Linked DNA regions of Oryzias latipes. The protein of the gene in region 2 binds, or shares a complex with, the protein of the main gene of each other region. Links are inferred from orthologs where the notes say so. Each region holds a gene or a part of one and is shown on either strand. Other genes may lie near its edges.

Region 1 (3,941 bases), on a different chromosome or scaffold from region 2:
TGGACAGATGAGACTAAGATCAACCTCTACCAGAGTATGGAGAAGGAAAGGAACTGCTCATGATCCTAAGCATACCACCTCATCAGTGAAGCATGGTGGTGGTATTGTCATGGCGTGGGCATGTATGCCTGCTAATGGAACTGTTCTCTTCTATCTATTGATGATGTGAACGCTGACAAAAGCAGTAGGATGAATTCTGAAGGCTTTTGGGCTCATGATCAGCCAAATGCTTCAGTGGACGGCGCTTCACAGTGCAGATGGACCATGACCCAAAGCAAACTGCAACCGCAACTAAAGGCCTTCTTAAGGGAAAGAAGTGGAATGTTATGCAATGTTTCACTTGCTGAAGACAAAACTGAAGGTAAAATGCCCCAACAACAAGCAGGAACTGAAGACCGATGCATTGGAGGCCTGGCAGAGCATCACCAGGGATGAAACCCAGCGTCTGGAGATGTCTGTGAGTTCCAGACTTCATGCTGGAATTGACTGCAAAGGATTTGCAACCAAGTATTAAAAAGTAAATGTCTGATTTATGATTATTGTTCTGACCATTACTTTTGGTTCCTTAACAAGTGGGAGGCACAGATGCAAACTGTTGTAATTCCTACACAGTTCACCTGATCTGGATGGAAATACCCACAAATTAAAGCTGACAGTCTGCAGTTAAAGCACATCTTGTTCGTTTTATTTCAAATCCATTTTGGTGGCATATAGAGTCAAACATGTTGGAATTGTGTCGCTGTCCCATTATTTATGGACCTGACTGTATAAAATGATCCACGTTACATCTGCGCTCTTGGCCCCTCCCTAAAGCACAGGTGTACTTACGTTTCTTGCCGTTGATGTGATCCAGAAAGTTGATGGAGTCTTTGACCACACAGTCACAAACATTGCAGTAATATCTGAAAAAAAAAATATGTCGGAACCAGAACCCAGACCTGTCCGTTTCTGCTCCACAACTTTTTCTTATTGGTTCAAAGAGTTTCAGTTTTCCATTTTTCCAAACCCAAAGCCGTCAGGAACTCACCCGCCCATCTCCGCCTGAGGGGTGGTCTTGGTGATGACAATAGTTTTCCCCAGTTTGGACTCCAGATCCACTTTGTAGTCTCTGTGCCGCAGGAGCTCCCGCTTGACGGGAGGGACAGGTTTTCCTGAAAGAGCCAACAGGTCATGCGTCAGGGGTGATAAGCGATTGACCCCCAAGGGTCCCCAAAGAACGGAGAGCGCTGCCCTCACCATCCCTGAGCTCCCGCTCGCGCTCCTCGTTCAGCCGCTTCTGAGCGAGATTCTCGTACTCGTCCTTGTCCCATTTCCGCCGGAAGTCGTTCTTGCTGGACTGGAAGACACGAGAAGATGACTCAGAGCGCCTCGATTATCTTCACATCTCAACAAACATTCAGCTGATGAAGACGAGGAGCTTTTACTCCTCCTGACAAAAGAGCAACAGCTTCTCAACTCAACTTCATTGATAAAACTCTAAAACAGAACCACAGAGACACAACAACAGAGAAGGAACAAAAGCAGGAAAGCCTCATGCTTCGTCAGAAGAATGTTTAAATGCAGACGGTGAAGATGCCTGTTGGACTGTCAGAGCTGACGCCTTGTGCACCTTCCAAGCTCAAACAGGAGGAGCTGGCTCTTCCCAGAGGTTCCTCCTGGATCTCTGTCCCTCCAGGGAAAGATATGAGCTTAACCGAGATTCCAAAAGCTCAGAGAGGTATGGATGAACGCACAAATCATGGGGAACGTGTGACCCATGATTTATGCGTGAGCCATGCTGCTGCTCGTATTTAATGGTGTTTGGGAAAAGGGCTGTTCCTACTCCGTGACCCGAGATAAGGGGAGGGCTCAGGCCGAACATCCAGCTGACGGGAAGCATCCATGTTGGATAAACAGATGAGTCCAAAGAGATCCTTCATAATGAACATTAGATTTTTCAGAAATCTCCGTTCAACAGCCTGATCCTGGCTGCAGCTGCAGCCTGAAACTGATCAGCTCTCCAAATGCATGGTGCCGTCAGGCTCCAGGGGGATACGCCTGCTGGTGGAGCTGTGCTTACAGGACAGGAAACCCTAAGTCACTCTAGACCAGTGTTTTTCAACCTTTTTTGAGCCACGGCACACTTTAACCCTGAAAAAGATCCCGCGGCACACCAGCATCCAAAAAAAAAAAAAAAAAGCAGAAATTCATGGTCTGTATTGATCGACAGCTCTTCCCTTTCATTCATATTATCAAAGTAAACATTTTCAACAGGGGTGGGTTTATAAATTTTATAATATAGCAACAGAAACATTGTTTCATATTTGCAAAAACCAAAAAGGACATTATCCTTATTATTACAGTTTCATTTATTATCATCACAGTCGGCTTTACGAAATAAACTTCAAGAGCTTTTATTTTGCCACACCGGAATTCGTTACACCTTTGAATTAGTCCTTTAAAGATAAAAACTAACGGCGGTTGAGTCAAAACGTTTTTGGTACTAATTTTTTTTTTTTTTAAAAAGGGCCGTAAAATTCTGCAAATAAAGTACCCAAGCGTCAGAGCGAGTTAGCCGCTGCTAGTCCGAGGCCGCGCTTCTAACGGCAGCAGCTGATGTCTGTAACGGTTACAGTCAAAACGCCTCCACGGTACCAAATATAAAGTGAAGAATTTTAATCTTGTTTATTGAATTAAACTGTATTACAACAAACAGGGGCAGAGAAATTCTGCTTGGAAACTCACCCCACTGCCGGACGCCATCTTGTTTACCTACGGAAAATACGTCACCGGATGTTGCAGCTCGTCATTGCTAGTTTCCTGTCTAAATTTAGTTCTATCGGTAGAGGAGACATCACGTGATTCCTCAAGGGGGGAGAGCATCGCCATCTTGGTGAGGTCAAATTACTGCTGTAGTGCATGCATGTGAACACATTTCTTGCAAAATACCAGTTCATTTTTCGGGTTTCAACTGCCAAAATCAGAGAAATGAGTCCACGAAGGAGGAAGGCATAACATTTCACAGGTAAGTATTATATATTTTTTTCTTTTAATGCTGCAGGGGCATCATTAATCATACACATGTTTTCATGCATGATGCTGCAGGGCGATTATCAACATGTAGGCATGATGTACGTATAATTTGCTGTCGATATAAATGTAAACTTTATTGTGTTAAACCTGTATACATTATACTAGGCTATTATAGTAATAGAGATTTATACATTTCTGACTCAGTGACTGAAATTTTATTGCAGGTTTCCAATGGATTCAGACTTAAGGAAAAAGTGGGCCTTAGCAATAAAAAGAGCTAACCCAGATGGATCACTGTGGTACCAACTAGTAATACAGTCTGGCTATGTTCAAAACAATTTGAGGAAACAGATTTTGATGAGACTGGCCAGACTGTTAGCTTGAAACCCGACACTAAACCAACTGTGTCACACAAATTTATCACTAACATGAATCAGGAGGTAAATCTATTTCTTTTCTTTGTTTTTTTAAAGGGGAAAATCTGTTGTTGACTTTTGGACTTTTTGTTGACTTATTATTGATTTATTATTATCATTTATTATTATTTACCTATTATTGATTTATTTTTATCATTCAATATTATTATTGACTTACTATTGATTTATTATTATTATTATTTATTGATTCATTATTATTATTATTATTATTATTATTATTATTATTATTATTATTATTATTATTATTATTATTATTGACTTATTTATATATTGTTATTAATTATTATTATTATTGACTTATTATTTATATTTGTTATTTATTATTATTATTGACTTATTATTTATATATTGTTATTATTTATTATTATTATTGACTTATTGTTGGGCTTTTCTAAATAATTTCAATTACATGTCAAAGAGGTCTAAAACTTGGAAATGTTTAAAAATTAAAAACAATGCATTTTTCATTAAAGTTTGAACTTTTAAAGCTGA
Region 2 (3,063 bases):
ATCCAGAGTGGCCAGTGCCTGCGTAGGTTTGAGCGCGCTCACAGCAAAGGCGTGACCTGCGTGAGTTTCTGTAAGGACAGCAGCCAGCTGCTGAGCGCCTCCTTCGACCAGACCATCAGGTGAGCGCTCGTCGCCGTCACTCCTTCTGGCCACGCCCTCGAATGACCACCTGCTGCTTGTTTTCCTGCAGGATCCACGGGTTGAAGTCTGGCAAAACTCTGAAGGAGTTTCGGGGTCACACGTCCTTCGTCAACGAGGCCACCTTCACGCCGGACGGCCATCACGTCATCAGCGCCTCGTCTGACGGCACGGTGAAGGTGAGAGGACGGCGGCGCTCCCCGCCGGCGCCTTTGGCGGCTCTGTCTCACATTTCTTCTCCTCCCGTCGGTGGCGTCAGCTGTGGAACGTGAAGACCACCGAGTGCAGCAGCACCTTCAAACCTCTGGGCACGTCCGCCGGCACCGACATCACGGTCAACAACGTCCTCCTGCTGCCCAAGAACCCGGAGCACTTCGTGGTTTGTAACCGCTCCAACACGGTGGTCATCATGAACATGCAGGGACAGGTGAGCGCCGCACGCCACGCCTTCCAGAGCCTTCGCTGACGCCCGGCTCACGCCTCCTCCTCCTCTCTGCGCAGATCGTGAGGAGCTTCAGCTCCGGAAAGAGGGAGGGCGGAGACTTCGTGTGCTGCACGCTGTCGCCGCGCGGCGAGTGGATCTACTGCGTGGGCGAAGACTTTGTGCTTTACTGCTTCAGCACGGTGACGGGCAAACTGGAGAGAACGCTCACGGTACCGATCCGCCTCAGAAAACGCACACAACCCGGGTCAGGGAAACATTCAGTCAGATGTTGATCCCAGAATATGAACAAACATGATGCTAAATTATACCCAAAGGTTTTAAAAAGAAATGATTGTGTTCCTCTTCCTCAGCTGTGTTTGTTTAGAGAAATAAAACCTCTTAAGCTGCAGCAGTTTGGTTTAATTCATCTGGATAACAAACCTGCGTCGGCACTAACTGTTGCAGCTCTCCGCTCACGCAAGAGCACCAAGACCCACAATGCATTGCTGTTTTATCCCTCAGTAGTCCTGGGATTTTTTGAGCTTCTCTTCTTTTTTTTTACTAGTTTGCAATAATAATAATTTACCCTCTAAAGAAGTTCTTGTGACTTTGCTTCATCAATCAATCATTTTGTGACTTTCCTTTTTTTAGGACAATTTAGGTTTTATAACGCCGATCAAACGTATAGAGATGAGAGAAATCTGTGCAAATCCCCCTCAGAATCTAAATCAAGGTCAAAACAACATACACAATAACAGATAAGGAACCGTTTTAGATGTCGCACACCGCTGCTCTGCTCCTCCAGGTGGAGTCAGCAGCTGAGCGGGGGCCGGAACTCAAACGCACAAAAAAGCAGACAAGACCAGAGGTCGAACAATCCGAACTATAATCTTTGTAAATCCTGTAATTCATCAAAACGCCTCAGTAGATTTATCACATTATTCTGACTCGCACGGAAAAACGGATAAACATTTCTCGTAGCTGTTGCAGAGTTTGGGGTGAAATAAGTGTTTGTCTTTGAGTTCTCTGGTCTCTATTGGCTCCAAACGACCTCAGCATCACAAACGAGGACGGTGGTTTTTTTTTTTTTTTTTTTTTGTGGCTTTAAAGTGAAAGTACGCATTTTCAAACTATTCAATTTGAAGGACTCGTGTGTCATAACTCTTATTATATATAAAAAAAAAATTTTAAACCATAAAATGTCAAAACTAAAAACCATTTTTGAAACCTTGAGGAAAAACCTGACCAATGCCGGGTCTGCGTCCTTCCCACATCCCTGAAAACCAACTCGCCGGTGCTTTGGTCACCTTCTAGGGTTCAAATCCCGACTTTTGAAGGGCGTTTCCACAGACGGAACAAGCTTCATCTTCGCCCTCAGGCTGCAGACTCAGCTGCTCTCTGTTCTCCTCCAGGTCCACGAAAAGGATGTGATCGGCATCGCCCACCACCCCCACCAGAACCTGATCGGCACGTACAGCGAGGACGGCCTGCTGAAGCTCTGGAAGCCTTGAAGCCTCGTCCACGGAGACGGCCGGACCCTCAGCAGCTTCTCTGGCCCCCAGCCTATCGTTCCTCTGTGTTTTCTGGACTTTCAGGATCACACCTGCAGGAAAGCACGAGTTCCCCGGCATCAGTCAGACCCCCCCCCGGTGTCCGTTTTGATTCTTTTATCCGTCAGACTCAGAAAATGTAAACGTCAGAGAAAAAGTGTAAGAAGAGGCTCGGATAGGAAGTGGTGCGTTCAAGACACATTTTTTTCACATTTCCACTCTTTTGTAAATACTTTTTAGTTGTTTTTTCAAGAATACCTGGTTAAACAGCCGACGCTCTGGTCTGTTTGTGCAGAAGCTGAAAGTCTCGCCAAAATAAGAGGCTGCTCAAACAGAACTTAAGATTTTTGATGATTCCACTTGAGCTTTAAGGGTCACAGCGGCGTGGTGGAGTTACAAATGTCTCCTGTAACATGTGTCCATTTCACCATTAAAGCTGTTTAACCAGAATGGTTGCTGTGGTGTTGAATTTAATCCTGAAGGACGGAAGTAAGTATTCTAATATTAACGTTTTTATTTATCTGCTTTGAAGGTTTTCTGGTCGTTTGTGGTTTTTCTGTTACAGGAGCTTCAGCGACGAAGCGCGCCGGCTGGGTTTCATGTTTAAATAAACTGCAGTTCAGGAGGAAGAGTGTCCAGTCTGACAGGAAGGCAAGGGGGCTGCTCGCACGACTTTCAAAATAAAAGCCTGACATAAGATCCTGTTCAAAGGAAGTCAGATCAAAACAGTTATAGCATTTATGGATGTGCTGTTAAAAGAAACAACCTACTTTTTAGATGTTAACCTTTAACATTTAAGTGTATATTTTATCTATTATATATATATATATATATATATATTTAGCAAATTGCATTTAATCTGCATGTTATCATTTTGATTTAAATTCATAATTTTGTTCTCCTTCAGTGGATTTTGTAGATTTATACGTTCTGGTCGATTTGACTCCAAAT

The links.
Region 1: WD40 repeat-containing protein SMU1 (region 2) and zmat2 share a complex: the UniProt entries of both Homo sapiens proteins name them as parts of the spliceosome B complex. The link is inferred for Oryzias latipes from reciprocal best matches to the Homo sapiens genes SMU1 and ZMAT2.

Annotation. Positions count from the first base shown.
Region 1 is NC_019872.2:3,288,045-3,291,985, forward strand, and holds the start of zmat2 (zinc finger matrin-type protein 2), read right to left. Parts: upstream 2,814-3,941; 5' UTR 2,743-2,813; coding exon 2,725-2,742; intron 1,337-2,724; coding exon 1,237-1,336; intron 1,152-1,236; coding exon 1,028-1,151; intron 903-1,027; coding exon 829-902; intron 1-828. UniProt on the Homo sapiens protein: Involved in pre-mRNA splicing as a component of the spliceosome.
Region 2 is NC_019868.2:28,095,250-28,098,312, forward strand, and holds the end of WD40 repeat-containing protein SMU1, read left to right. Parts: coding exon 1-119; intron 120-190; coding exon 191-317; intron 318-397; coding exon 398-565; intron 566-639; coding exon 640-792; intron 793-1,974; coding exon 1,975-2,073; 3' UTR 2,074-2,562; downstream 2,563-3,063. UniProt on the Homo sapiens protein: Involved in pre-mRNA splicing as a component of the spliceosome. Regulates alternative splicing of the HSPG2 pre-mRNA. Required for normal accumulation of IK.